Linked DNA regions of Canis lupus familiaris. The protein of the gene in region 1 purifies or fractionates together with the protein of each later gene. This does not show direct contact. Links are inferred from orthologs where the notes say so. Each region holds a gene or a part of one and is shown in the gene's direction. Other genes may lie near its edges.

Region 1 (3,875 bases):
TTTTTTTTTTTTTTTTTTTAGTGGAATCATTCTTTATCTGCTCTTTTGCTTTCATTTATGCAGCAGATCTTTAGTGAGCTGAGCATCCAGATGTGCAAGGCCCAGCAATGTGCATGATGCATGGGCTTGAACTATGAGAAATTTGACATAAAGGGGCACCTAGAGACTTAAAGCATGACATTGGAAATTTAGGACAGCCCTACATGAGAAAGCCTGTTTGTTCATATCCTCACTAACCCTGAATTTTGTTAATTCACTTAAAGCAGTGTTAAGTGTTTTCTGGTCAGGGACCCAGAAAGCTTAAGTTCTGGCAATGGGAGAATGTAAGTGGCAAAAGAGAGTTGGGGAACCCAGAAATCTCAGCAGCTGTCCTGTTCCTCCTCATGCTCCACACACCCCCACATCTCTGCCTTCTCTCTTCAAGGTCTTTTAGTGTTTATTAATCATGCGCTTCAACCTCTTCTGTCATGCAAGGGGACACGAAGACCTGTGCTGCAAAGGGACGTGGCCAGGGTTACACAGATAGTAAGTGACAGAGCTAGCTCAAGCCCATCCTCTTGGGATGTCTAATTGCCTACACTTCCCACATTTTGGTACAAGGATGGGTTAGGATAAAGGCAGTACCACATTTCATATTTCATGTTCTCCATACCTGAGTTTGAATGCTTGTCACTTTCTTTCTTTTTTTTTTAAGATTTTATTTATTTTAAGAGAGAGGGGGAGAGAGAGAGAATATAATCGAGGGGGAAGGGCAGAGGGAGAGGGAGAAGCAGGCTCCCCGCTGAGCAGGAAGCTCCACCCTGGGCTCAATCCCAGGACTCTGAGATCATGACTTGAGCCAAAGACAGATGCTTAACCAACTGAGCCAGCCAGGTACCCTTTCTTGTCACTTTCTGATGATTATTCTATTCCTGCTTCTTAGGGATATAAGTTTTAACACTTCTTCCTCTATGCCAGCTCTTTTTGAAATGTTAAATTTTAAGAAGGAACTGTTAAAACACAAAATCCCTATTTCTTATTTTTATTTATTTATTTATTTACTTACTTACTTACATAAGCGCTGCACCCAACATGGGGCTTGAACTTATAACCCCGAGATCAGACGGCACATGCTTTACCAACTGAGCCAGCCAGGTGCCCCCCATTTTTTATTTGATATTGCTGAATGATACACTCACAAGTGATAAATGTTACGTTATACCACAATAAAAAAAAAATTCCCCCTTTCTTATCCGAAGGGACTACATGGTGGTGTTTATATCTGTGGGCTTCCCTTCCCCTTCTCCAGCTCACCGGTGTGCACTCACTTAGTAACTGGTAGCTTTCTCATTTTATTGGCAGGATAACCTCATTAGCAGAGTCACAACTTCAGACCCGCCAACAAATTAAGAAACTGGAGGAGTTACAACAAAAAGTGTCCTATAAAGGGGATCCCATCGTCCAGCACCGGCCAATGCTAGAGGAGAGGATTGTAGAGCTGTTTAGGAACTTAATGAAAAGGTAACTTCGAATTCCGGTTCCTTTCCCTCATCGCTCCCCACCCCACCACCTCCTTTGCTTTGAGGCGTAGAACGAAAACCAGTTCACTGCAGAGTGTATATGTGGACTGCTGTCCTCTTTGCCTTTCAGTGCCTTTGTGGTTGAGCGGCAGCCTTGCATGCCCATGCATCCTGACCGGCCGTTAGTCATCAAGACTGGCGTCCAGTTCACTACCAAAGTCAGGTGGGCCCCATATTTCCTCTTTTGGTAGATATTTTATTTTTTAAATAAATGTTATTTATTTATTTATTCATGAGAGACACACAGAGAGAGTCAGAGACATAGGCAGAGAGAGAAGCAGGATCCATGCAGGGAGCCTGATGTGGGACTTGATCCTGGGACTTCTGGGATCATGCCCTAGTCTGAAGGCAGACGCTCAACCACTGAGCCACCCAGGTGTCCCTGGTGGATATTTTATTGAGAGATGTTCTTAGGATGAGAGCCGAGTTGATGGCCAGAGTTTTCCTTTCTAGGCCTCACGGGTGGTAGTATAGTGGGTATGGAATTTGCTGGCATAATATCGTATCAATTTGCTTCTTAATTCTCCTGTCAAAAGCTAAGGAATGATTACCTCTTTTTGAGGTTACATGAATATATTCCTACAATTTCAGGCCTATAGTCTTGGGCCATTGTGTCTCCTTCATCCCTGCAACAGAGGCATACTAATGCTGGTTATGTTCTATCCTTGGTGCCTACTTTTCACTACGAATTTTAGGGGAAAGAGTAAGGCATCGAGATATAGAAGCTAAGAGGCCATAGAGCAGGTGGGTGGTGGGCCTGCAGGGTGGGGTGTGACTTTCACACCCAAGTCAGGACAGGTATATTGGGGTTTGGTCTTCTGCAGTGAAATTTCCCTCTTTAGAAACTGGGTGTTAGGTTTCAGGCTTAACAGAAAGCATACCAGCTGCAGAGCGCGTGTTCCTGTAATAATTCTCATGAAACGACTTTCATTATCCTTTTGTAAATCTCATACAACTTTGTCCAAGTTTGTGGTTTTTACGCTTTCTATCAGTAACAATGGGCCTGAAGGGGTGATACTCAGTGTAAGGTCAAAGATGTCACTAGTAGGAAGAGGAATCTGGGATTGTGTTTTATTCACCTTTTAGAAATGAAGGGTTATGAATTCTGTATTCCTTTGAGTAGGAGTTAGTGGTGGAGCCTATTGACTTGTTTTTAAAACTGATATATTTTTTTCTTTACTCAAAAACTTTCCCTCCCACTTTCTTTTGAAATAGATTGCTGGTCAAATTCCCGGAGTTAAATTATCAGCTTAAAATTAAAGTGTGCATTGACAAGTAAGTACTCTGTATGTTAGCTTTTTTTTTTTTCTTTTTTCAAATGAGGGACAGAAATGAGAACTTGGATAATTATCATGTGAACTTAGAGGCTTTATCTCCATTTGGGGATCTTCATTTTTTGAATAGAAGTTTTCAAAAGTCTTGCAGTTCATTGTCATTTGCATGCCTGAACAAAAAACCACAAAGCTGGTGGTACAGATATGAGTTGTGATTGCTATTGTGACCCTGGGTCCTCCTTTTTCTTTAATTTTTTACCTGCAGACTTTTATTATAAAGATGTTGATCCTTCTTGAGAAGGTTAATGTGGCATAAGCAAAATACGTATAGAATTTCTTAACTCTTGACTTGCTCTTCAAGCTGTATCTTAGATGAGAAAAATAGCCAAACATTGTTTCTTTAAAGGATTTATTTATTTATTTATTTAAAATTATGGTAAAAATTTTAACATAAAATTTACCATTTTAATCATTTATAAGTGTATAGTGTTACATATATTCACATTGTTGTGCAACGGATCTCCAGAACTTCATCTTGCAACATGGAAACTTTCCAACCATTAAATAACAAATTCCTGTTTCCCTGTCCTCCCAGCCCCTAGCAACCACCATTCCACTTTCAAAAAAAATTTTTAATGAATAAAGATAAATAGGAATGGTGTAGGAAGATGCCTTGCCAGATACTAAAATGTATCACAAAGTTTCAGTTACTATATGAGTGTGTTACTAGGGCAGGAATAAATTGATTGATCATTAAAACAAAACCTTATGTCCAGAAATAGACTTCAAATTTATAGAAAGAATTAATATACGTTTAAAGTGATATCTCAAATCACTGAGTAAAGGATGGATTATTTAGGAATTAATTATGGGAAAACCTGATACTGAGGGGGAGGTGGAGGATTTGAATGATAAATTAATGTTTTATTTTTTGTTGTCCATCAGATGTATTTATATGTTTAATGATCTTAAAAGCATAGGTGAATGTGTAATATAATGATGGTAAAATCGCAAAATGGTGGGACCACTTTGGAAAAGACTT
Region 2 (4,486 bases), on another chromosome or scaffold:
AAGGCAGATGCTCAACCACTGAGCCACCCAGGTGTCCCAGGAAAGTGGTTTTATGAGTAGAAACTCAAAGAAAACATTTATGATCTCATACTCCCCGCATATCCCTTCACCCCCTCCTTGGGCACACTAAGCATATTAACTACCAACTTCATACAGCAAAAGTGCAGCTCTTAAAAAAAAAAAAAAAAAAAGTGCAGCTCTTTTTGCCCACAGGTCCTGTCCCTGTACTACTTAAATAAACTTCGGAAGCTGTACCACACAATGTCTCAAAAATTCTTTCTGGGCCTTTGCATTCCACAGGTCCTGCAACAGTACACTGATTACAAGGGAGGAATCTACATGGATACTTCACAATCACCCAATATCCATAGTAACATCACTGGTTCACTTTTTTTTTTTTTAAGAGAATAATTTTTAGATAGGTATAGTGCACTTACTGCCATGGAAAGATATCCGTATTACTTTGAGAGGAAATTAAAAATCTATCAGGATGAATCCAATGTTTAAGAAAATGTATACGCATAAGAAAGCCGAAATGGATCTGTACCATCATGTCACAGCGGGAATCTTGGGATATCGACAGAATCCACAAATTCTAAGCAAGGTTCTCAGTAACTTGAATTGGCGAGGACATCTGAAATGGACTGAGGACTCACTGATATTACCTTGTTTCACGTCACGTTCATTATTTTTCTATAATTTACTGCAGCAGACTAGTACCTGAAGGTACTGGCAATATCCCGCATACCAAGGCGCAGTTCTATTTAGCACAGCGTTAAAGGATTTTCCAGTATAGGTAAGAGATGGAAAGTGTGAGGAATCTTGATACAGATGGATAAAGTTTCTCAAGAAAAAAAAAAAAAAAGGGAAAAGGACAACTGAACTGTTTTCTGATTCTAGGGGGTTTAACTAGGTGAAAAACAGGGCGAAGAGACTGAATCAGAAATCAGGAATTTGAGCAACAGGGGTCATCTCTAGGTGATCATTTCAGGTTGGAAAAGGAGGGAGGGAGATGAGAGGGATGCTCCTGAAGGGTCCTGAGGTCCCAGCAGCTGCCACGGAGGACGTTCCCCAAAACTGTAGAGAACAGAGGCCCCCTCCCCTGCACCCCGTCACGTACTCTGGCCGGTCCAGGCGTCCGCATTTCGCCCCCACGAGGAAACTCGGAGTCGGGGAGGACGCGCGCGCCGCCGGGGTGCGTGTGCCCTCGGGGCCGGCGGAGACGTCCCGCGGCGGAACCTGTGAGGTAAAGGTGGGAACCCGCACCTGCCGGCTGCGCGCCAGGAAGAAAATCAGGCTGCGGAACGCTCCTGGAGGGGTCGTCGGCCGCCGCCGGGCCCACCCCGCTCGCTCGCCCGGGGGCCGCCCATCCGAACGCCGCGGCTTCCGGAAGCGCCTCGGGCCGCGCGCCCCCCGCGCCTCCGAGAGGCGGCCGGCGGCTAGTGCGCAGGTGCAGGACGCGGGCCCCCGGCCAGGAGCCCGCCCCGCCCTTCCGCCCCGCCCCGCCCCGCCCCCGCAGGCGCCGCCGGCCGTTTACTTTTGAACGGCTGCCCCGCGCTCTTTCCCATTGGCTGACGCCGCGCAGTTGAATGTAGCGCGGAGACTGCGCCTGCGCCGTGGGGCTCCGCGAGGCCCCGCCCCGTCTGGGCACCTGAACTCCCTCGGGGCGGAGGAGGGCGGGGACGCCAAGCATCCCCCGGACGCGGCGTGCGGAGGCCCGTAGACTGTTCGGGCTGTGGAGGAGGGCGGTGTCGGAGTCCCCGCGGTGAGTCTGGGGAGCATCTCCTCGGGTCCGAGAAGCCGTCTCTGGGCCCCTCTTCTTCGCCTGTAAGCCCGGCTGGGATGCCGCGTGTGCGCGAGGACGGAGGGGGCGGCCTGGGTGCTGCGCCCGTGCCGGCGCGTCCGGGTGTGAGGAGTTCGCGGGCTGCCGTTTTCCTCCCTCAGCTGTGGAGCCGCTTTCTGTGAGCAGGCCGGCCCGGCGTGGGTCCGCCCTCGCGCGGGCTCCGGTGGAGGCGCCTTCGGAGGAGGCTCGGGGGGATTTGCCCTCCGCCTCGGAGAGGGAAGGAAGGGGGCTGGTGCGGCGAAGCCCGTCAGGGACGGTGCCCATTTTACAGGTGAAACCGCGGCTAGAGAGGCGCTAGCACACACCGACCCAGGGTCCCACAACACTCAGTGGCAGAACTGAGAGGTGGACCGACGTGCTGGTGGGAATAACCTCAGTCGGTGTTTATCATTTTACTCCGGCAAGATCTTTCACTGCCGTGGATGGTTCTGGTCCTCAAGTTAACTTTTACTAAGTCAAAAGTGCGCGTGAATGTTTGCTCCGTCATCGCCATTGTTGGCTAACATTTTCAAGAGCTCGTAAAATAACTTGACGCTACAAAAAAGAGGTCCTTTGTGACAATTTATTTGGTCACAGGCTTGTTGGGATATGCAGTGTACAAGTGGTACCTCGCCCGCACCAACAACTGTTGATACCTGTCACCATTTTTGTAAAAACGCCATGAGGCACGGGGAGATAAACCTCCAAGGGTGAGATAGCTATTCCTGTGATGTCATTTTAATGTTTTTTTTTTTTTGAGAATGTAAATCTAAAACATTAAGATAAAGTTAATTTTAGAATACGAATAAAAGAAACTGAAAAAGTTGGAGAATATACTCAGTCGCCAAGGGGGAAGATCAACAAAGTAGGTAAGCTCTGAAAGATTAAGTGAATACAAAAGAAGTTCGTGGTAAATTTTCCAAGTGAATGGTTTAAAGTGGAAGATGGGGCTTTTAAATCTGAAAAAAAGACATGTTTGGTGTATAAAATTCAAGCCATCTGAGCGGAGCATGAAGTGAAAACAGCTCCCTCATCAGACTTATACCTTGCAGTTAGTCACTTTTGTATATCCTTTAAGAAATTTTACAAGGATTTGTGTGCATCTGAACACACAAATGGTATCATTTTATACATACAGACCTGCAGGTTGCATTTATTACTTAAATTACCTGGCTACCTTTTTACTATGTATTTACGTACTGATTTGCTTTCTTTTATTTTTTATTTTTTATTTATTTATTTTTTTGATGACTTGTGTAGCTATCCTTTGAAGGAAGGTACCATAATTCAGTCTGGCAAGGTGAAATTTTGATTTTTAGATAATGTTAGTTTTAACATTGCCTTTCAGCAAACATATTGCTGAATGTATTTTCACTGTGAAAAATACTGAAGAAAAAGCAATGAACACCTGAATTTCTCACAAGTTCCTGGTTAGATCACATAGGTAGTTTCTTTCTTAGTTTGGGGAAATAGATTGATGTCAGGATGCAAGTACCGTGCAAATGGACAGACTTAAAGTCCTATCTGACCATAGGATTTTTTTTTTTGAAAGTTAAAAAAAAAAAAAAGAAAGTTATGGTGATCCTTCATTATTTTTGTATATTTATACAAAGTATTTATACATACAAAATTTTTGTATATTTATACATACAAAAGCATTTTTAAAATCTTGCCTTATGTATATGGATGGTACAGTTGTAGTATTTCTAAAGTAATCTTGAATCGCATAAAATGTGCTGTATATCAGTTAGGGCCACAAAGATGTGAGACCCAATCAGAATTTTCCCAGACTTTCAGCTGACTCACACTGTAACTCCTAGAGCAAGTCACTTAACTCTATAATGTGGTAAACATAATTTTCTTCAGAGGTTGTAAAATGTAATGGATGTTTTATTACTATTCATGTTTAGAGATGAAAGGCATTATTGGTGAATTAAAACTTAAAAAATAGTTTACACACTACTCTGTAGTAGAATGGATAATGATTTTTTTTTTTGTACTGTTTAATTCTCCATAATCTATAATCAGTACTATCTAGTTAGACATAGTGGTGGAGGTTCTGTAGAAAGTCCGTTTTCTGGAGAAAGACTATATAAAAAGTTTAGATATTCAGAAGTGTATTTGTTTTGACACTTAAACACAAGAATTTTGTGAAATAACTTATAAGTGGATGATTAGCCTCAGATTTATTTTTTATATTCATATCTTGAGGATTTTAAAGAGGATAACAGGAAATCTTGATATAAATTATCAATGTTTACTTGGGCTTTTAGTACTCACCAGAGGAAAATAGCATTTTACATGGGTGACTTTTATTTTACTTCTTTGCTTTCTAAAAACATAAGATAATGAAAGTTGATTCTACAATTAATTTGGCAGAGGAAAGACAAGGTAATAGGCAAGGCACTTAAAATTTTTTTTAAAAAGTTATTATTTTGAAATTAGACATAAAATATACTATTATAACCATTAAGTGTGCAATTTACTGTCATTAAGTACATTCACATTATTGTGCAACTGTAAATACCCATCTGCCTCCAGAACATTTTCCATCTTCCCAAACTTAGAACTAAACAATAACTCTCCATCTCCTCTCCCTCTAGCCCCATTTCACTTTCTGTCTTTGTGGGTTGCTTACTAATTTTTATATTATACGCATTTTCC
Region 3 (4,048 bases), on another chromosome or scaffold:
TGCGTACCAGGAGTAGCAAAAGCATCCTCCTGCCAGGGTGGAAAAAGTCTGGGTCCAGGCCTACCCTCAACACAAAGTAGGGACTTGGTAACAACGGGGGGGATGTCCCTTCTCTCTCCCGCATGGCTCCCAGTGGGGTCTGGCTTGATACCCCCACCCCCAGCCTCAGAAATAGTTTTTTTTTGACCTCAGGTTGGCAAAAAGGTCTTAGGGTGCTCTGATAAGAGCTTTTAAGACTAGTGGGGGACATGAGGCCCTGTGACCTTGGGTGTCCTATGCCCCCCCCCCCCCGGGCTTCTTTGTACCCTGTGGGAGGGAGGTGGCTTCTTTCTGATGTGCCTCCCAGAGTGGACCTCAAACTTAAATTAAGCCTTCTGTTTGGGAGTCCGTGGTGGAGACAATGATACAACTAATAATAATAACCGTAACAGCACTTTCATGGAAGGAGCTTGGAGTGAAGTGACTCGCCCAAGGTCACGCAGCGTGGCCGCCGAGCACCCCCCACCCACCCCCTTCCACCTCCCTGGGCCCAGGTCAGGGTCGGGTGGGGCCAGAGAAGACCCAGGTGTGGTCTAAGGGGGCGGGCAGGGCCGGTGGGCGGGGCTGGGGGCGGCGCAGTCGCCGCGGCCGAGGTCCCGGTGGGGCTCTCCCCCGAAGTGCCCCCCACCGGGGTCCTTGCGTTAGACGTGCCTTTAGGAGGGGCGGGGGGCCTCCCCCAGCGTGGAATCCCCTCCTTCCGAGGGCTGGGGTTGGGAGCAAGTTTTGGGGCGGGGAGGGGCCGGCCGCGCGGGGGAAGGACGGTGCAGGTGGGTCACCTCTCGGGGGGCCGGGGCGGGGCCGGGGTCTCCGGGATCCGGCCTGGGGAGCGCCGGCCTCCTCCGTGGGGCGTCCGGGCGGGCTCGGCGGGTCCCGAAGCCTCCGCCGCCTCCAGCAGGGGGCGGGCGGCGGCCGTGCTTCGGGAGGGGGAAGGCGGTCGCGCTGCCCCCTCCCCGCGGCCCCCCCGGGGCGGCCTCCAGCCCGGAGGGGGCGGTCCGGGGGCGGGGTCGCGCCGCCCCTCCTCGCTCCCAATCCCCGCGCCGCCGGGTGGGGGTGGGCAGGGGGCGTCAGGCCGCCCCCCCGCGGGCCCGCGGACCCCCCGAGGGCGCGCCCCGGCTCTCGGGTCGGGCCGCCGGGCCCCGCCGGCGCCCTCGCGGGGGTCTCGGGCCGCCACCCCGCGTCCCGGCGGCGGCGGGAGGGGCCGGGGCGGCTGCCAGCGTGACGCAGCCGTTGCCATGGGTCGCCTTATAAATAACCGGGCTCGGGAGAAACTTTAGCGAGTCAGAGCCGCGCACGGGACCGGGAAGAGGACCCACGCGAGGGTCCAGCCGTCAGCCCCCGCACCGGCAGCGGCCCCCCGGCGGCAGCGGCCCCCCGGCGGCAGCAGCGGCGGCGGCGGCGGCGACCCAGCGGCCACGGTCGGAGCCGGGAGGCCGCGCCACCTGCGGGCCGGCCGGAGCGGGCAGCCCCAGGCCCCCTCCCCGGGCACCCGCGTTCATGCAACGCCTGGTGGCCTGGGACCCAGCATGTCTGCCCCTGCCGCCGCCGCCCGCCTTTAAATCCATGGAAGTGGCCAACTTCTACTACGAGGCGGACTGCTTGGCTGCTGCGTACGGCGGCAAGGCGGCCCCCGCGGCGCCCCCCGCGGCCAGACCCGGGCCGCGCCCCCCCGCCGGCGAGCTGGGCAGCATCGGCGACCACGAGCGCGCCATCGACTTCAGCCCGTACCTGGAGCCGCTGGGCGCGCCGCAGGCCCCGGCGCCGGCCACAGCCACGGACACCTTCGAGGCGGCCCCGCCCGCGCCCGCCCCCGCGCCCGCCTCCTCCGGGCAGCACCACGACTTCCTCTCCGACCTCTTCTCCGACGACTACGGAGGCAAGAACTGCAAGAAGGCGTCCGAGTACGGCTACGTGAGCCTGGGGCGCCTGGGGGCCGCCAAGGGCGCGCTGCACCCCGGCTGCTTCGCGCCCCTGCACCCGCCGCCCCCGCCGCCGCCGCCGCAGCCCGCCGAGCTCAAGGCGGAGCCGGGCTTCGAGCCCGCGGACTGCAAGCGGAAGGAGGAGGCCGGGGCGCCGGGCGGCGGCGCCGCAGGCATGGCGGCTGGCTTCCCGTACGCGCTGCGCGCCTACCTCGGCTACCAGGCGGTGCCGAGCGGCAGCAGCGGGAGCCTGTCCACGTCCTCGTCGTCCAGCCCGCCCGGCACGCCGAGCCCCGCCGACGCCAAGGCGCCCCCGGCCGCCTGCTACGCGGGGGCGGCGCCGGCGCCCTCGCAGGTCAAGAGCAAGGCCAAGAAGACGGTGGACAAGCACAGCGACGAGTACAAGATCCGGCGCGAGCGCAACAACATCGCGGTGCGCAAGAGCCGCGACAAGGCCAAGATGCGCAACCTGGAGACGCAGCACAAGGTCCTGGAGCTCACGGCCGAGAACGAGCGGCTGCAGAAGAAGGTGGAGCAGCTGTCGCGCGAGCTCAGCACCCTGCGGAACTTGTTCAAGCAGCTGCCCGAGCCCCTGCTCGCCTCCTCCGGCCACTGCTAGCGCGGCCCCCGCGCGCGGCCCCCCGCCGGCCGGCCGGCCGCCCGCTCGCTCCGCCCGCGCGCCCGCCCGCCCGCGCGCCCGCCCGCCTGCCCGCGCGCTGCCGGCCGCGCCGCGGGGACCCGCGCCCCCGCCCCCGCCCCCGCCCCCGCCCCCGGGGCGCCGGCGAAACTTTGGCACCGGGGCGCTTGGCGGCGCGGGGAGCTCGTCGGTAATTTTAATATTTTATTATATATATATATATATCTATATTTTTGTCCAAACCAACCGCACATGCAGACGGGGCGCCCGCCCGTGGTGTTATTTAAAGAAGACGTGTCTATGTGCACAGATGAGTGACAGGCTCGCTGCCTCCCCTGCCTCCTCTCCGGGCGCCGGCGGGCGGGCCGGTTCCGAAGTTGATGCAATCGGCTCGAACATGGCTGAACGCGAGTGTACACGGGACTGACGCAACCCACGTGTAACTGTCAGCCGGGCCCTGAGTAATCGCTTAAAGATGTTCCTACGGGCTTGTTGCTGTTGATGCGTTGTTGTTGTTGTTGTTGTTGATGTCGTTGATGTTGTTGTTTTTTGGTCCTTTTTTTTTTTTTGTATTATAAAAAAAATAATCTATTTCTATGAGAAAAGAGGCGTCTGTATATTTGGGGATCTTTTCCGTTTCAAGCATTAAGAACACTTTTAATAAACTTTTTTTTTTTTTTTTTTTTTTTGGAGAATGGTTAAAAGCCTTTTGGGGGCAGTAGTTGGCTTTCGATTTTTTTTTTTTTAATTTATTTTTTGGTTTAGATGATTTTAGATGTGCTTTCCTGGATGGGGGTGTGTGGGGGGGTAGGGGGGGGTGGGGTTGTTGTGTGTTGGGGGGTTTCTATTATTTTGGGGGTTTTTTGGTGGTTGGGTGGCGGTGTTAACAGCTGTGTCGTGTGTGTGTGTGTGCTTTTTTTTTTTTTTTTTTTTGGTCCTCCCTCCACTGCTGCTCCCTCCAGGGTCTGTGCTTGGAGGTGGGGGATGCCAGGTTTCTGGGGCTCTCAGGGTGACTCAGCGCCCCTGAGTGCTGGGGAGGAGTGACCCGGAACCCTGCTTGGGAAGAGGTCGGCTTGTCCCGAGTGCCAGGCTTGAGTTTAGAGGGAGGGACCTGTACGTCTGTGACCTCTGTAGGGTCCGGTGTTTGGGGGATCCGGCTAGCAGGCCACATTATGTAGGAAGAGGGCGTATGGGTCTTGGTCTTGCTGAGCCCAAGTTGGAGCAGATTCTTTTTGGTAAGTGTAGTTGGGCGGGCTGTTTAAAAAAGACTGTGTGTGTGTATATATTTATTTTAAGAGGAGCCTGGGTGTGTGGGCGAGCTTGTGTTTGTGTGTCCCTGGCCTGCCTGAGGGGAGAAGCTGGGCCAGGTGGAGGGAGGTGTGGGGGGAGAAGGGTTCCTACATTTCTATTTTCCCTTTCCTCGGGTTGGGAGGTTCACCCCTTGCCTTCTTTGCCC
Region 4 (3,875 bases), on another chromosome or scaffold:
ATCCTGAACTATCTACTGTTTCCTTTTTTTCTTTTTTCTTTTTTTTTTTTTTTTTTTTTTTATGATAGTCACACAGAGAGAGAGAGAGAGAGAGGCAGAGACATAGGCAGAAGGAGAAGCAGGCTCCATGCACCGGGAGCCTGATGTGGGATTCGATTCCGGGTCTCCAGGATCGCGCCCTGGGCCAAAGGCAGGCGCCAAACCGCTGCGCCACCCAGGGATCCCTATCTACTGTTTCCTAAACATGTGTTCTCTTTTCCTCACCTCTATGCTTTTCATTTTTTTTCCTTCTCACCATTTCTTAGTTCTGTAAGGTTTGGAATGGGAGTAAATAGATCTGATTTTATTTCACTCTAGTTTTGCTTGGAAAAGTCATTCAGTATGTTCATTTTATTTGCTTTGTTTTTTTCCTCTAGTAACAAAGTAGAAATAATGTCATGCCTGCTTTACAGGAAGATTTAAAGAAAAATCAGATAAATAAAAATGGTATTTGCTTTGAAAAGAAAGTTGCTGATTTAAAAGTTCTATAAATATAGGGAATGCTTATTATAAATTGAGCTAACACATTTAGCAAAGGTTTAGAGGAGTTTGCTGCAGTCTTTTTTGGGATGTGCTTGTAAACTGGTAGCACAATTACAAGGCAAATTTATACCACATTTATGTTTCTTTGTAATTTTGCCAACTTCACAAGCTTGAATGTGAAATGATTAACTGCTGTCTGAAACCAGGGAATCATTGGGAGTTGTGAACCCCAGTTAGTGATTGAATCATGTTAGATCTCTTGAATGTGTTGGAGTGTGAATCATTATTCATGCTGAGACTTATTAATTGAATATAGCACCTTTGTGCTACTCTGTGACAAACTTAAAAATTTAGTTTTTAAATTTTATTTCATGCTTTCATTCATTAGGCCTTGTGAAAAAGGGTAAAGAGCAGAATACACAGCGAAGTTTTTTTCTCAGAATGAAGTGTACCCTAACTAGCCGGGGGAGAACTATGAACATCAAGTCAGCAACATGGAAAGTAAGTAAAAATGACTTGTGAGTAGTGATGTATATCCCAACACTACTAATACATAAAATAGCATTAGAATTGTGAGGGAAAACTTACAGTTATTTATTAGCATTTGCTGAGTTACCATCCCAAACTAGAAATCTCTCTTTGAGGCATGAACTTAAATTGTACTGAACTAACTTAATCAGTTGGCTTTGCCACCCACTCAGTGTTTGAGTCTTGATATAACTTAATTTTCTGTTTATTATTTCATTTCTTTGCTCAGTGTTGCAACATTCATTGAAGTAAGAAGTAACAAAATAATAAACAGCCACTATGATGAAATGAATGAAAAATCAGCCCAGATTTGTCTGAAAGAAAATTTTTAAAGAGTATTTTATGGTGCCTGAGTTACATGAGTGGTGTTACCCAGGAAACATTTATTGATTTCAAAGATATGGTTAATCCACTAATGACAATAAATTTTATCAAAGCTTATCTGCTGTGTCACACTTCAGATGTTTATCTCTGCATTTTTTAACTAGCATATTATGCTTTTTAAAAAACTGCTTTGTTTTCTTTGTACATAGGTACTTCACTGCACAGGCCACATTCATGTCTACGATACTAATAGTAACCAATCTCAGTGTGGGTATAAGAAACCACCCATGACGTGCTTGGTGCTGATTTGTGAACCCATTCCTCATCCATCAAATATTGAAATTCCTTTAGATAGCAAGACTTTTCTCAGTCGTCACAGTCTGGATATGAAATTTTCTTATTGTGATGAAAGGTAAATAATATATGTAAAATATAACTTGAAAATTTTAATTAGTCCCTAGCGTATTTTTTTTTTACCATTCACTATAATAAAGACTGCGAATGCTTCCTTCCACAAAGTTGAATAGTGATACATTGTAAAAGTCAGTAATACTAGATTAACTTTGTAGATTAATTCAGCTGCATTTATCAAACACTTACTGTGCACTATGAATACTCTATCAAGGTGCTATCAAAAATCATAATGATGGGGTCATTTTCCTTTAGGGCTTCTAACTTATTTAAAAAGAAACATATTTCAAAGATACAATGCATTATTTGGGAAAGAATAAAATACTTTTGGTTATGGACTAGAGAGGAAAATGTTTGATCATCTCCTTACCCTACATATTACCCATGATTTATTTCTATTGCCTTTTCCCAAATTTATGTCCATATTTATTTTTAACTGCAAAGTTGACATTTTATCTGGATAATCTTCTATATTAATAAACTGAGTATTTCTATAATTGAACTATACCACTATTGCCCCAAAACAACAACTTTAAAAATTGCGCTGTTTTAATAATGCTGACATGGGTAGTATACCACTGTAGATACATAACTCCTGCAAAAATTTGGAATTTATCCTTAACTTTTGAAGATTTTATCTATTTATTAATAAGAGACAGATCGAGAGAGACAGATGGAGAAGCAGGCTCCCTGTGGGGAGCCCAATGTGGGACTCCATCCTAGGGCCTGGGATCATGCCCTGAGCTGAAGGCAGACGCTCAACCACTGAGCCACCCAGGGATCCCTCTTTTACTTTCATCATCTGTACTCAATTGGTCTCTAAATCCTATAGATTTACTATCTACATATATCTCTTGGTCCATTCCCTCCTTTCTACCCTTGCCTTCCTGCCGCTGAATTCTTCAGCTCATTATTACAACCTTTGGCTCAAATTTTTGCCATAATCTCCTAGGCTGCCTCTCTGCCAAAAGATTTATGCCCTTTTAATCTCTCATTTACATCACCCAAAAGTGGACTTCATTATGTGAAAATCAGATAATATCATATTACTGTTGAAAATGTGTCAATTGTTTCCCTTTATCTTTACACAGAAAAAACTTGGGTTTATAAAAATATTAGAGGAGGGCAAGGGATTTTCTTTATCAAAAGATGTACCTTTTGAAAAGCTGAAAGAAAAATGGACCTCTACAATAAAACCCAAACTTCTTAGCATGGCCAACAAAAATATTTATGATCTGGCCCCTGACCACTTCTCTAAATTAATCAGGAAGAGGGGATTACTCTGATGTCCCCAACATCCTACAGCTGGAGAACACCACATGCTAACTTGCTGTCTTAGTTCCTTTACACACATTTTCCCATTCAGCGATGAAGTTTTCTTCAATTCCTAACACACATTTATCTTTCAAGAGCCATCTACTTCTTTATGGAACTTCCCTTTATCCTTCAAGAAACTATACTATTCATTGTGCGTACATCTGTCAACATTTTTTCTACTATTGTAATTATTTGCTTGTCCCATTTTTTTTTTTTAATGTATGCCTGTGTAATATAGTAACTGAAGGCATAGATTCCACAGCCAGACTACTAAATCCTGACTTTGATGCCTATATCCAAATGATCTTGGCACATCAGTTTCTTCATCTTTTGTTTTCTTTTTATTTATTTATTTATTTTTTATTCATGAGAGGCAGAGACATAGGCAGAGGGAGCAGCAGGCTCCCTATGGGGAGCTTGATGTGGGACTCGATTCCAGGACCCCGGGATCATGACCTGAGCTGAAGGCAGTTGCTCAACTACTGAGCCACCCAGGTCTCCCAGTTTCATCTTTGGTAACACTTTATGTAGGGTCAACTTAAAGATTGTATGAGAAAACCAATTTTAAGCACTTAGTCATGATACAAAGTAGATAGGAATCCCCCACCCCACTGGACAAGGAAATGTGACAGAACTCTGGCTTTAAAATCCCATAGTCCTGGATTCAGTCCTGGCTTGCAGTTTTTTTTTTTTTTTAATTTTAATTTTTATTTATTTATGATAGTCACACATTGAGAGAGAGAGAGAGGCGGAGACACAGGCAGAGGGAGAAG
Region 5 (4,559 bases), on another chromosome or scaffold:
CGGGAATCGAGTCTAGTCTCGCATAAGGCTCCCGGCAGGAAGCCTGCTTTTCCCTCTGTGTCTGTCTTTCATGAATAAGTAAATATATATATTTTATTATTATCTTTTATTTATGATATAGAGAGAGAGAGAGAGAGAGAGAGAGAGAGAGAGGCAGAGAGAGAAGCAGGCTCCATGCACCGGGATCCCGACGTGGGATTCGATCCTGGGTCTCCAGGATTGCGCCCCGGGCCAAAGGCAGGCGCCAAGCCGCTGCGCCACCCAGGGATCCCTATTTTAAAGAGAATGGGGTCTCTGGAAGGGCAAAGGCTTTGGAAGAAAAGTAGGCAATTCATAGACGGGCAGAAAGACGACTGTTTTGGGAAGAAAACCTCCCCTCTGTTCACCTTCAGCCCCACCAAAGGCGTGGGGTCTCCGGCGACGGTCTGAGTATTTGGGGTAGGGGGTGAGGGACCACAGGGAGACTTGGGGCTTAGGTCCACTTTAGATTCTAGCAGCCCAGGCTTTCCCCCAGGGAGAGGAGTCTCGTTCCAAGTAGGAACCTCTTCAGGCGGCCAAATCCCAGTCGGCCCGGCCTTCCTCGCAGCATGATCGCGCCGGGCGGGCAGAGCAGCGCAAGGGGCCGGAGCAACAGTGAGCAGGTTGAGTCCCCAGAACGTCCTCCCTTCCCACCCGTTGGCTCACGCACCCTTTCAAGGAGTTAAGCTCCGGGCGCGGGTCTCGGAGCCCCTCCCCTCCCCGCTTCCGACCCCGCCCCCGCCCCCGCCCCCGCCTCCGCGGTCCTGGCGGGCTCACCCGGAGGGGGCGGCCCCAGCCCCAGCGCCGGGCCGGGCGGAGCTCGCGTCCGGGCGGAGCTGCCGCTGCAGCGTCCAGCTGCCGGACCGACCGACCTCCAGCCTTGCAGCCCCCCCACCTCCCCGGCCCACCCTCCGAGCCTCCCGAGCCCCCTCCCCGCTCCCCGCAGCTGTGCTGGTAAGTCCCGCTCGTCGCACCAAACTTTTTTGCTGCGGAGTTTGAGTCCTGCCGCGGGACCCCAGGCAGCACTGTAGTTGGTTGGCCGGGAGGGGGGTGGGGGTGGGGGTGGGGGTGGGGGTGGGGGGCGAGGAATCGAGAGCAGCCGTCCTGACCGTCACCACTGCACAGCTTCTCCGAAGCGGGTCAGATCTCACCCGTTCCCCGAGTTGGTAGAACTCTTGACTTGAGCTGGTTAAACTCGTCGAGGAGGAGATGACGGTGTCTGCTCCAACTTCGCCACCCCTCCCCCATTTCTCTAAGATTGAGCAGTTCTCGCTACTTTCCCCCCGTATTTCAAGTGTCTCTGGCTCTCTAAAAGCTCACCCCCTCCCAGTCCCGGCGTGGCAGAGCCCTCCCTCGGGCGCTGCGGGCCCGCCTCCCCTTCCTCACCCCCGGGGACCCTCCGCTCTGGCACCCCAGCCGGAGCCGCGCAGGGGCTGGGTCGGGCGGAGGGAGGGGCCGAGGCCGGGGCCTGTCCGGAGCCGGGCGGGCGGGGCCGGGAGGGGAGGCGCAGGGGCCGGGCGGGGCGGAGCAGGCGGCCTTTGCGGCGGGCGCCGGGGTGGGGAGTTGCGCGCCGGTCCCTGGGCCTGGGCTCGGGCTCGGGCTCGGGCGCCGGCGATGTCTCAAGATGGCGGAGCTGGGCGAGTTAAAGGTACCGGCCCCCTCCCCCAGCCCCGTGTGGACTGCGCCCGCGGAACGCCGAGTCTGGGAGGCGACCGAGCCCGGGTGCCGAGGGCTCGGCGGGGGCGGGGGGCGCGGAGACGTGGCGGAGACCGGCTGCCCGAGCGGGAGCCGAGCGGCGGCGGGAGCGGACCGGGCTGCCACGGGCTCGGGGGCGGGGCCGCGGGGCAGATGCAGGGGTGGGGCCGAGGGGAATTGCCGCTGTCGGGGGCCGAGGCGCAGGGGGCGGGGACGCGGGGGTACGGGTCGGACTCGGTGGTCGGGGCGGGTGCCCGAGGAAGGCCGAGGTCCCAGCTGCCGCGGGGGCGCGGGGGGCGAGTCACCGAGGCCGCGAGACGCGACAGTAGGGGGCAGATGCGGGGCTGGGACGCGGGCAGAGGTGCGGAGGCGCCCGCGCGGTGCCGCCGAGGGGATGGCAGCTCTGGGGCTGCCGCGGGCTTCCGAGCCTCGGGAGCACCGCGGGCGGCGGAGATCCCGGGGGCGGGGCCGCGCGGGCTGCGGGTTCGAGGGCGGCGAGGAAGCCGCTGCCCTGGTGGATCGGTCTTTGGGCTTAGGTACAGGAGTGTGAGGCTGTGGGATGGAAAGGGGACGTTCTTGACAAAGCTAACGGAGAACTGAAAACCGGACAGAGGAAATGAGGGTGGGAGAAAGGTAGATGGGCCAGTTTTTCACCGCATTCCTCAAAAGGGGCCCGAAGCCAGGGAGGCTCCTGGGAGGGGGCGACTCGTGGACGGCTGGCAGAGCCCGCCCGTGACAGGGCTCCCGGGGAGTCACGGAGGGTGTCCTTTTGCGAGAGAGCGAGCGTGTGGTGCCCGCCTACTGCCACACAGGCTTGAGGGTACCCCTATCGGAGGACATCTCACAGAACCTTAAAAAAACCACTGGGTTCATCCCCCTGCCTCCTGGCTTTGTTCTGCCTTTTGAAATGGAGCCGTAGTCTTTGGCGGGCTAGTCCCTGGGTCCAGCTGCCCCAGGAGAACTTGCAGGTCTGCCCCCAGGCTGGGAAGGCGCCCCAGCCTTCTCATCTCCCCAGGGCCCCTGCTTACAGCTTAGCCCTCTCCTCTCCCACGGCTATGGGGGGGGGGGGGATTACTTATTTTCTCTATGTAGGAGAGAAACAGGATATTAGTTCCTGGCAGATGGAGTAAACAGGTAAACAAGAAAGTAACCCTGGACTGGGTGATTTACTATGAACCCCTTTGCCCCAAGTTTTGGTCGCTTATCTCCTAGAAGAATAGGACTGAGGGAAAGGTGTTGATGCTTACAAAGGATTTGGGGGGAAGTTACAAGCATTGAACCCTGACCTGAAAACCCTGGCCACAGACGCTTCAGAGGCTTGGGGAAAATAGCTGAGGTGGCTTGAAGTGTTGGGAGGGGTGTGCCATGGTGCACAATCCTCTGGCCACCTGCCCCCTTTCTTCCCTGTGGGGCTGTCTGGCCTGATTCCTCTTCTCCCCCTCCTTCTCCCTGTCTCCTACCCTCTTTCCAGGAGGCTGGGTTGGGTCTGAGAGTCTGAGAAAGGGCAGGAGAGGAGATAAGCTGCTTAAAGGAGCGTCTAGGCTCAAGGCAGGGTTGGAAGTAGGAGGCCACAGTGGACTCGGAGGTGTGCCTGTGGATGGCTTGCTGCCTGCACCCTGCCCCACCTGGCCAGCTTACAGGCACGGGGAGATAGGGTTACTCAGGCTCTGGGGGGGGGGCAGTGGTAAGGTTGACCTGAGGGCTGCTGAATGGGACTGAGATGTCCCTTTGGCCAGATTGGCTGTCCGGCTGTAATCACTGGCTGCAAAGCATATTTCTCTTGGGGAGGGGGGCGGGGGAGGCACTGCCTCTTTGGCAGTATTCTCAAATGTCTCTGTTCTCTGCAGCACATGGTGATGAGCTTCCGGGTGTCTGAGCTTCAGGTTCTGCTGGGCTTTGCTGGCCGGAACAAGAGTGGACGAAAGCACGAACTCCTGGCCAAGGCCCTGCACCTGCTCAAGTCCAGCTGTGCCCCCAGCGTCCAGATGAAGATCAAGGAGCTTTATCGCCGACGCTTTCCCCGGAAGACCCTGGGCCCCTCTGATCTCTCCCTCCTCTCTCTGCCCCCTGGCCCCCCTCCTGTCGGCTCCCCTGGCCCTCTTACTCCCATTCCCCCTGCCCTCTTGGCCCCTGGCACGCTGCTGGGCCCCAAGCGTGAGGTGGACATGCACCCTCCTCTGCCCCAGCCTGTGCACCCTGATGTTACCATGAAACCATTGCCCTTCTATGAAGTCTATGGGGAGCTCATCCGGCCCACCACCCTCGGTATGGCTCTGCCTCCTCCATCTTCCTGAATCTTACCTCTTGCCCAAGCCTTGGGCTTTAGTCCTGTGGGATCAGTGGCCTGGGATGGGGGTAGCGTCTGTGGCTGCCTGTCATGGGCTCAGGAGTAACTGCTCCTTTGTATCCTCAGCGTCCACTTCTAGCCAGCGGTTTGAAGAGGCACACTTTACGTTTGCCCTCACACCCCAGCAAGTGCAGCAGATTCTCACATCCAGGTACCTCTCTTCCCACCCTCCTACCTCTGACCTGGGGTGGTTATCCCGGGACTCTGCTCTCTGCCTTTCTTCTCGTCTGTCCTCGTCTCCTGCCTGTCCATCCTTCTGCACCTGTGTCATCTCTCATTCTCTTGTGCATCTCTTCTCTATCTCTGGGACACGTAACTGTTTCTCTGTCTATTCAGCCTGGCCCTCTGGGGGCCACATCCTGACATGTTTCCCTCTCCTCCCTGTCATAGAGAGGTTCTTCCAGGAGCTAAATGTGACTATACTATCCAGGTGCAGCTCAGGTGAGTTGATCCTCCCGCCTCCTTCCCTGCTGGGCTTCCACTGGGGGTGGGAATGAAA
Region 6 (3,875 bases), on another chromosome or scaffold:
AGCCATTTTATGCTGGAAACTGTCAATTGTGTTCTTTTTTTTTTTTAATTTATTTATGATAGTGCACAGAGAGAGAGAGAGAGAGGCAGAGACACAGGCAGAAGGAGAAGCAGGCTCCATGCACCGGGAGCCTGACGTGGGATTCGATCCCGGGTCTCCAGGACCGTGCCCTGGGCCAAAGGCAGGTGCTTAACCACTGCGCCACCCAGGGATCCCTCAATTGTTCTTAAAGTGATTATTTAAGGTACAATTATATATAGTATCATAAGTGCACCATGACATGAATTTTGACAACTATATATGTAACCAACAGTACAGTCACAATATTTTTATCACTCTAGAAGATTCCTCTGTGTCCATTTCTAATCTCCTTCCTTCTGCGTAGCTACCACTGTTCTCATTTCAAACCCTGTAGACTAGTTTTGCTTATTCTACAATTTCATTGACAATTGAAGTCATACAGTATATATTCATTTGTGTCTGGCTTCTCTCTCTCTTCTCTTTTATTTTTATTTATTATTTTTTCTTTTAATTTATTCATGAGAGACAGTGAGAGGGGGGCAGAGACACAGGCAGAAGGAGAAGTAGGCTCCATGCAGGGACCCCGATGTGGGACTCAATCCCAGGTCTCCAGGATCAGGCTCTGGGCTGAAGGCAGCGCTAAACCACTGAGCCACCCGGGCTGCCCTCTCTCTCTTTTTTAAAGGTTTTATTTTTAAGTAATCTCTATACCCAGCGTGGGCCTTGAAACTCACAACCCCAAGACCAAGAGTCATATGCTCCCCTTCCTGAGCCAGCCAGGCACCCCTGGTTTCTTTCTCTTAACGTAAAGTTTTTGAGATTATCCATGTAATTGTATGTATCAGTGTGTTTTTTTTTTAATTGCTGTGCAGTGTTCTGTGGTCTGAATATGTAACTATTTATTTGTCCATTTTGGTGATAAATGTTTGAGTTGCCAGGATTTTTCTATCTCAAATAAAGCTGCAATAATATTCTTCTACAAGTCCTTGGGTAGCTATACAGTTTCATTTTTTGGGGGGGGGGGTGCAAAATACTTATGAGTGGTTTTACTGGATTAGAAAATAGATGTTTAACTTTATGTGTCTTTTTTTTTTTTTTTTTAAGATTTTATTTACTTATTCATGAGAGACACAGAGAGAGGGGCAGAGACACAGGCAGAGGGAGAAGGAGGCTCCCTGAGGGGAGCCTGATGTGGGACTCCATCCTGGGTCTCCAGGATCATGCCCTGAGCCGAAGGCAGACACCCAACCGCTGAGCCACCCAGGCATCCCTAACTTTATGTGTCTCGATTAATTACTGATGAGAAAAATTATTGCCACTTAATATATGCATTTCGGTCAGACTTCCAAAATAGAAGTTGTACAAGGGAAAGGAGCCAGGCAACAAAGCCTTTGTGTTGAAATGGTTGACTTGTAAACTGGCTCCTTGGGTATGTTTCAATGTTTAGGTGAAATCTGATATAAAATGTGAGATCCATTTTTACTAGTGTAGCTCTTTATTAGTTTTTGTTTTCCCCCTAATGGACTCTTTTAGAAGAAATGGCGCTGTCACCCACATCAAGATTCAGAACACTGGTGATTACTATGACTTGTATGGAGGGGAAAAGTTTGCCACGTTGGCTGAGTTGGTCCAGTATTATATGGAACATCACGGACAATTAAAAGAGAAGAATGGAGATGTTATTGAGCTTAAATATCCTCTGAACTGTGCAGATCCTACCTCTGAAAGGTCAGTGATGTTTAATGCACCTCTTCCATGCCATAGGTGTTCTACGAATGCATTACGGGGCTTTGGCTTTACCTGTTTCTCAAGTTGTAATCTTTGCAACTAAGTAAGTTTTACTGAAGCAAGAATCATAGGATGAAATTATTTTCAGAGTGCCTTTTTTCTGGTGAAAGTTTCGATTAACATTCCTTATGCTTAATTTTGCAGGGGTCACAGACTATTCCTGTATATACTTGGTACATGCAGTAATTTTAAGATTATTGAATTTGAGCCCATAATCTTTAAGAATTAGGAGAGGAAAATAAGTGCTAATGGAGGCGCCCAAACAGCAGCAGTTCCCTGTAGCAGCTCCCCATCAGCTATTCAGCCATGCCACCAACAGATGTCAGTTTAAGCTCAGAAGCTGAAAGTCAGAGCTTGCAGAGGGTCAGATTTTTCATCAGTTCTGTTCTGTTATATCCACAAATGTGGGAGAATGACCTTGCTTAGAGGGAATTACGTTATTTCTGAGATCATCTTTCGCTTGATTTGGAACTAAGCTGATGAAAGCTGAGACTTGACTTATTTTTATTGATTTTATTGGTTTTCTACATTCCCACTCTCCTCTCTGACTCAGTACAAACTCAGGGTCTACTTAATTAGGTTTGTATATTTTGTATCTTCAGGTAGGTCTCTTCAACTTGCATCTTCATGTCAGTGCTGTTACAGGCAGATAATTTCTCTAGCTATACTATAACTTCAAGCAAAAGGCTGTTTGCCAACTCAGTTTATTTCTGAATTTTACTCTGTTCATTTGAGGGTGGATGAAAAACAATTCACTGTATATTCCTCTAGTGATGAGCCACTACACTAGCACTATCTGCCATGATAGTTAGTGCTTGCTTTCTTATCAAGATCCTGAGGGAAAAAGCCACATTATTAATATAACTATGTGAAGGTTTTTTAAAAAGTTTGTTTGTTTATTTATTTAATCTCTATCCCCAACATGGGGCTTGAATTCATGACCCCAAGGTCACGAGTCACAGGCTCTTCTGACTGAGCCAGCCAGATGCCCTGTTAAAATGTTTTTTTATAGTATCCTAGAGTGATATCTCAAAATCTGTCCTCTCGTGACCCGCATCAGGACTCTCGAGTACTGGGTAAAAATGCAGATTGCTGGGCTCCTTTCAAATGTAGTATATTGCTATTTCTGGTTGGGCGGCATGGGAATTCATTTTTTTAGCAAAATCCTTCAGCTTTTCCATAAATATTATATGCTTTAGAAATGATAACCCAGCATACAGTCTAAAGATACTGACAGCAAACTTGGAAGCTGTTGAAGTATTGGTTGGAAATATTAAGGAATTTGGAGTGCTTAAATTAATTTATAATGAAAATTTTTTAATGTAATGTTCACATACCAAAGCAAGGACAAACATTCAAATGATTTTTTTTCTTTTTCTTTTTTTTAAGATTTTATTTATTTATTCATGAGACACAGAGAGAGAGAGGCAGAGACACAGGCAGAGGGAGAAGCAGGCTCCATGCAGGGAATCCAACGTGGGACTCGATCCCGGGTCTCCAGGATCAGGCCCTGGGCCCAAGGCAGTGCTAAACCACTGAGCCACCCGGGCTGCCCGATTTTTTTGTTTCTACCATGACCACCTTATTTTAATTTCTTTCTCTTTTCTTTTTTCTTTTCTTTTCTTTTCTTTTCTTTTCTTTTCTTTTCTTTTCTTTTCTTTTCTTTCTTTTCTTTTCTCTTTTCTTTTCTTTTCTTTTCTTTTCTCTTTTCTTCTTTCTTCCTCCCTCCCTCCCTCCCTCCCTCCCTCCCTCCCTCCCTCCCTCCCTCCCTCCCTTTCTTTCTTTCTTTCTTCTTTCTTCCTTTCTTCCTTTCTTCCTTTCTGATTTTATTTACTTACTTGAGAGAAGGCACGAGCAGGGAGTGGGGGGTAAGGGGCAGAGGAATAAGCAGACCCTCTCCTGAGTAGGGAGCCAGATGTGGGGCTTGATCTCAAGACCCCCAGATCATGACTCAAGCTTAAGGCAGATGTTTAACTGACTGAGCCACCCAGGCGCCAGTATTTTAATTTCTTTAAATGACTGTGATTCAATAGTCCTTTTACGGTAGGGCATGGAGAAATGGCAAA
Region 7 (4,382 bases), on another chromosome or scaffold:
CCAGAAACGCAGGTGTCTGAGGGGAAAGTGTCCTGTGACTTTGGTTACAAAGGCCCGCGCTCTCCTCCTGCCGTCGGACGGGGTGTGTGGGGAAGGAGAGGCAGGAAGTGGCTGACAGGACGCGGACTCTGGGAGGTCCTCCAGGCCCAGCTCTCGAGAAAGTCAGCGCCGCGGAAGGAAGCCGCCGGCCGCCGTCTGCGGGAGAAGTCGGGAAGATGGCGTCCGCCGGAGTCGCACAAAAGCCCTTGCGGACGGTCGGCGCGGGGTTGGCCGGGCGCGCGCGCACCCACAGGGCCGACACCCACACTCCGAGGCGCCCGCCCGCCCGTCCGCCCACCGCGGGGAGGGGGACGCTGGGGGGGCCCCCGAGAGAGCGGCCGGCGGGAGGCAGAGCCGCGCTCCGCCCGTCTCGACCCTGACACTTGTTGCGCAGCACGGCCCCACCGAAGCGCGCCACCTAACCACTGCAAAGACGTCCCCTGAGGAGGGCCAAGATGGCGGCGGCCTCCTCTTGGCACAGCCCTGCTCCCTCCCCCGCGACGGGCGGCTCTGGCGGCGCCCATTGGCCCCCCTGGGGGCGGGGCCTGGCCCCCTTCGCCGCCTCATTGGGCGGACCGACTGAGGGAGACGCCGCTTCTCCTCGGCCCACCCCAAAGTCCCGCCCCCGGAGTGCATTCGGCGTTCAATTGGCTTCTCGTTCACGTCAATTTGCGTCCCCGCTTGTCTTGTCTCAGCGTTGGCCCAATCCTAACTTTCCTGGCTGCCCGCCTGATTTCTGATTGGCTGTGGTCGGCTTCATCCTATCCCATTTCGGCCTGCTTCTTACCCCCTCCCACCGGGGACTTTGCCCAGGCATGTCCGGGCTTCTGGTTGGCCGATGTTCTGTCATTCCAACCTAAGCTCTCCCTATCCCCACCGTTCAGGGAGCCCGCCTGGCGGTTGACTGGCTCCCTCCCAAGCCTGTCATCACTAGCTCCCGCCCACCCCCACTTCCTGCGCCTTTCATTGGGCCTTAAAACTGAGAGGGCGGCCTCCCTGGGCGGACACCAGGCTCGCAACTTTGTCCTACACGCCTTAGAGAGCCAGTGAGCCTTGCCATTGGATGACCCACGCGTCTTTCTTCCGCAAGTCCCGCCTTTCTCCCTCCCTCATTGGGCGGGGCAGCAGCGAAGGGGCGGGGCCTAGGCCGGGCTTGTGGCGCGCTGCTCCCTCCTCCTTACCCCCCCCCTCCCTGTCCGGTCCGGGTTCGCTTGCCTCGTCAGCGTCCGCGTTTTTCCCGGCCCCCCCCAACCCCCCCGGACAGGACCCCCTTGAGCTCGTCCCTCAGCTGCCACCATGAGCGGTAAGGATGAGTCCACTCCACGCTTAGGGGTGGGAGGGGAATGAGGGGGCGCGCGCGAGGGCCGACCGGGCGGTCCCCGCCGTGAGGGGGGGCGGGCGGGAGGCGGCGGCGGCGGCCTTGGTCCCGCCCGGGGCGGAGGGAAGGGAGGGAGAAGGGGCAGTGGCGGGGCCTGCGAGAAAGCGGGGGATGGGCCGCCCGCCCCGGGGGAGGGGGCAGCGTGGCCTCGCCCGCCCCCTGCCCGCCCCGGCCACGGGGGACGGGCCTTACCCCCCACTATTCGGCCGCCCGCCTGAGGCTCCTCCCGCCGGGGGCTGGAGCCGCGGGGGCGGCCCGAGCAGTGCAGGCCCCGCCCGGGCCAACCGCCTCCCCGGTCCGCCCTCTGGTCGCCGCCTGCCCCAAGGCCCTCCCCTCCCCCCGTAGGTTTCCCCTCCCCCCCACCGTCCCGCCCTTTCCACGCCCCTCACCCCGAAACCGCCCTTTCCTTCCAGGGCCCGCCCTCTGTCCGCCCCGAAACCTCCAGATTCGTAACCCCTGGACCCCGTAGCCCCTTAGCCGTATCCACAAATGTTTCCCCACTCACACTTTTTTGTTTTTTCTTTCCCCTTTGCCCCTCTTCTCCTCGTGCTGCTTTTTACCCTTGAGTTTTTCTCTTTCTCTATATTCTTTGACCCTAATTTTAGCAAGCTTTCCATCCACCCACATGTTGTTCTTTGCCTTACCTATCCCTCTCCTTTTTATCCCCAGGATACTTTTTTTTATTTTGAAACTCTTTGAACATGTCCATCGCCCCTCACATTTCCTATACGAAAAGTACATTTTTAATGTTTCCTGGGTGTAATTTTGTGCCAGGGAAGAATTGAGGCCCAGTTTCAGCACTGCTAAGCCAAGTCTGTGTTCTATGTGTCCTACAATTGCCCTTTCCTCAATCCACTTTTTTTTTTTTTTTTTTTTAACGCTGGTGCCTTTCACCTTACTGTTAATTATTTGTTTCATCATAGCGTCCTTTATCCCTCCTAACCTTACCCTTTTCCTTCCTCCAACTCTAAGTTGTTTATCTTTTAATTCTTTTTAGACCAAGATCACTCCATGGATGAAATGACAGCCGTGGTGAAGATTGAAAAAGGAGTTGGTGGCAATAATGGGGGCAACGGTAATGGTGATGGTGCCTTTTCTCAGGCTCGAAGCAGCAGCACAGGCAGTAGCAGCAGTGGAGGAGGAGGAGGGCAGGTAAGTGATAAACCAGGGCAGAGTAGGGGAGATGTCTAGAGAATGTAAATATTCTTAGATTATTGTCTTTTCACAGAAACGTTTTTAGGAAAGCGCTAAACCATTTTGTAGCTAGGGAAGTTAGCACAGAGAGACAAATGATTGGGAGATCTCCAGAGATGAGGATTTCAGCAGTATGGATAGGTCAGCTTTTTGTTTCAGGTTTTTTTTTTTTTTTTTCCCTCTCTTTGGCTGCAGTTTTGCTGTTTATTTGTTTTAAAACTGCCCCCAGGGCTGGCAGCTGGGTGTCTCTGACTCCTATCCTCTCCCTTATTTTCCGGCCAGGAATCCCAGCCATCCCCTCTGGCTCTGCTGGCAGCAACTTGCAGCAGAATTGAGTCACCCAATGAAAACAGCAACAACTCCCAAGGCCCAAGCCAGTCAGGGGGTACAGGTGAGCTTGACCTCACAGCCACACAGCTCTCACAGGGTGCCAATGGCTGGCAGATCATCTCTTCCTCCTCTGGGGCTACCCCTACCTCAAAGGAACAGAGTGGCAGCAGTACCAATGGCAGCAATGGCAGTGAGTCTTCCAAGAATCGTGCGGTCTCTGGTGGGCAGTATGTTGTGGCCGCCACCTCCAATTTACAGAACCAGCAAGTCCTGACAGGATTACCTGGAGTGATGCCTAATATTCAGTATCAAGTAATCCCACAGTTCCAGACCGTTGATGGGCAACAGCTGCAGTTCGCTGCCACTGGGGCCCAAGTGCAGCAGGATGGTTCTGGTCAAATACAGATCATACCAGGTGCAAACCAACAGATCATCACAAATCGAGGAAGTGGAGGCAACATCATTGCTGCTATGCCAAACCTACTCCAGCAGGCTGTCCCCCTCCAAGGCCTGACTAATAACGTACTCTCAGGACAGACTCAGTATGTGACCAATGTACCAGTGGCCCTGAACGGGAATATCACCTTGCTACCTGTCAACAGCGTTTCTGCAGCTACCTTGACTCCTAGCTCTCAGGCAGTCACTATCAGCAGCTCTGGGTCCCAGGAGAGTGGCTCACAGCCCTCCACCTCAGGGACTGCCATCAGTTCTGCCAGTTTGGTATCATCACAAGCCAGTTCCAGCTCCTTTTTCACCAATGCCAATAGCTACTCAACAACTACTACCACCAGCAACATGGGAATTATGAACTTCACCACCAGCGGATCAGCAGGGACCAACTCTCAAGGGCAGACACCCCAGAGGGTCAGTGGGCTACAGGGGTCTGATGCTCTAAACATTCAGCAGAACCAGACATCTGGAGGCTCTCTGCAAGCAAGTCAGCAAAAAGAGGGAGAGCAAAACCAGCAGACACAGCAACAGCAACAAATTCTTATCCAGCCTCAGCTAGTTCAAGGGGGACAGGCTCTCCAGGCCCTCCAAGCAGCACCATTGTCAGGGCAGACCTTTACAACCCAAGCTATCTCCCAGGAAACCCTCCAGAATCTCCAGCTTCAGGCTGTTCCAAACTCCGGCCCCATCATCATCCGGACACCAACAGTGGGGCCCAATGGACAGGTCAGTTGGCAGACTCTTCAGCTGCAGAATCTCCAAGTTCAGAACCCGCAGGCCCAGACAATCACCTTGGCCCCAATGCAGGGTGTCTCCTTGGGGCAGACCAGCAGCAGCAATACCACCCTTACACCCATTGCCTCAGCTGCCTCCATCCCTACCGGCACAGTCACTGTGAATGCTGCTCAGCTCTCCTCCATGCCTGGCCTCCAGACCATTAACCTCAGTGCATTGGGTGCTTCAGGAATCCAGGTGCACCAGCTTCCAAGCC

What was found.
Region 2: the proteins of STAT3 (region 1) and TRIM59 purify together in Homo sapiens (affinity purification with western blotting; 4 studies listed by BioGRID). This does not show direct contact. The link is inferred for Canis lupus familiaris from reciprocal best matches to the Homo sapiens genes STAT3 and TRIM59.
Region 3: the proteins of STAT3 (region 1) and CEBPB purify together in Homo sapiens (affinity purification with western blotting; 3 studies listed by BioGRID, with this or other methods). This does not show direct contact. The link is inferred for Canis lupus familiaris from reciprocal best matches to the Homo sapiens genes STAT3 and CEBPB.
Region 4: the proteins of STAT3 (region 1) and HIF1A purify together in Homo sapiens (affinity purification with western blotting; 4 studies listed by BioGRID). This does not show direct contact. The link is inferred for Canis lupus familiaris from reciprocal best matches to the Homo sapiens genes STAT3 and HIF1A.
Region 5: the proteins of STAT3 (region 1) and PIAS3 purify together in Homo sapiens (affinity purification with western blotting; 5 studies listed by BioGRID). This does not show direct contact. The link is inferred for Canis lupus familiaris from reciprocal best matches to the Homo sapiens genes STAT3 and PIAS3.
Region 6: the proteins of STAT3 (region 1) and PTPN11 purify together in Homo sapiens (affinity purification with western blotting; 3 studies listed by BioGRID). This does not show direct contact. The link is inferred for Canis lupus familiaris from reciprocal best matches to the Homo sapiens genes STAT3 and PTPN11.
Region 7: the proteins of STAT3 (region 1) and SP1 purify together in Homo sapiens (affinity purification with western blotting; 4 studies listed by BioGRID and IntAct, with this or other methods). This does not show direct contact. The link is inferred for Canis lupus familiaris from reciprocal best matches to the Homo sapiens genes STAT3 and SP1.

The regions. Positions count from the first base shown.
Region 1 is NC_049230.1:20,469,387-20,473,261, forward strand, and holds part of STAT3 (signal transducer and activator of transcription 3), read left to right. Parts: intron 1-1,341; coding exon 1,342-1,500; intron 1,501-1,629; coding exon 1,630-1,722; intron 1,723-2,774; coding exon 2,775-2,834; intron 2,835-3,875. UniProt on the Homo sapiens protein: Signal transducer and transcription activator that mediates cellular responses to interleukins, KITLG/SCF, LEP and other growth factors. Once activated, recruits coactivators, such as NCOA1 or MED1, to the promoter region of the target gene.
Region 2 is NC_049255.1:26,693,684-26,698,169, reverse strand, and holds the start of TRIM59 (tripartite motif-containing protein 59), read left to right. Parts: upstream 1-1,606; 5' UTR 1,607-1,765; exon of another isoform or gene 1,766-1,827; intron 1,828-1,958; exon of another isoform or gene 1,959-2,114; intron 2,115-2,133; exon of another isoform or gene 2,134-2,532; intron 2,533-2,538; exon of another isoform or gene 2,539-2,691; intron 2,692-4,486. UniProt on the Homo sapiens protein: E3 ubiquitin ligase involved in different processes such as development and immune response. Serves as a negative regulator for innate immune signaling pathways by suppressing RLR-induced activation of IRF3/7 and NF-kappa-B via interaction with adapter ECSIT.
Region 3 is NC_049245.1:37,284,476-37,288,523, forward strand, and holds CEBPB (CCAAT/enhancer-binding protein beta), read left to right. Parts: upstream 1-1,435; 5' UTR 1,436-1,533; coding exon 1,534-2,574; 3' UTR 2,575-3,275; downstream 3,276-4,048. UniProt on the Homo sapiens protein: Important transcription factor regulating the expression of genes involved in immune and inflammatory responses. Also plays a significant role in adipogenesis, as well as in the gluconeogenic pathway, liver regeneration, and hematopoiesis.
Region 4 is NC_049229.1:36,920,606-36,924,480, forward strand, and holds part of HIF1A (hypoxia-inducible factor 1-alpha), read left to right. Parts: intron 1-910; coding exon 911-1,023; intron 1,024-1,583; coding exon 1,584-1,786; intron 1,787-3,875.
Region 5 is NC_049238.1:59,314,930-59,319,488, reverse strand, and holds the start of PIAS3 (E3 SUMO-protein ligase PIAS3), read left to right. Parts: upstream 1-1,564; 5' UTR 1,565-1,642; coding exon 1,643-1,666; intron 1,667-2,211; exon of another isoform or gene 2,212-2,847; intron 2,848-3,560; coding exon 3,561-3,978; intron 3,979-4,126; coding exon 4,127-4,211; intron 4,212-4,450; coding exon 4,451-4,501; intron 4,502-4,559. UniProt on the Homo sapiens protein: Functions as an E3-type small ubiquitin-like modifier (SUMO) ligase, stabilizing the interaction between UBE2I and the substrate, and as a SUMO-tethering factor.
Region 6 is NC_049247.1:10,338,365-10,342,239, forward strand, and holds part of PTPN11 (tyrosine-protein phosphatase non-receptor type 11), read left to right. Parts: intron 1-1,554; coding exon 1,555-1,749; intron 1,750-3,875. UniProt on the Homo sapiens protein: Acts downstream of various receptor and cytoplasmic protein tyrosine kinases to participate in the signal transduction from the cell surface to the nucleus. Positively regulates MAPK signal transduction pathway. Dephosphorylates GAB1, ARHGAP35 and EGFR.
Region 7 is NC_049248.1:44,804,433-44,808,814, forward strand, and holds the start of SP1 (transcription factor Sp1), read left to right. Parts: upstream 1-1,230; 5' UTR 1,231-1,335; coding exon 1,336-1,342; intron 1,343-1,821; exon of another isoform or gene 1,822-2,229; intron 2,230-2,414; coding exon 2,415-2,569; intron 2,570-2,893; coding exon 2,894-4,382. UniProt on the Homo sapiens protein: Transcription factor that can activate or repress transcription in response to physiological and pathological stimuli.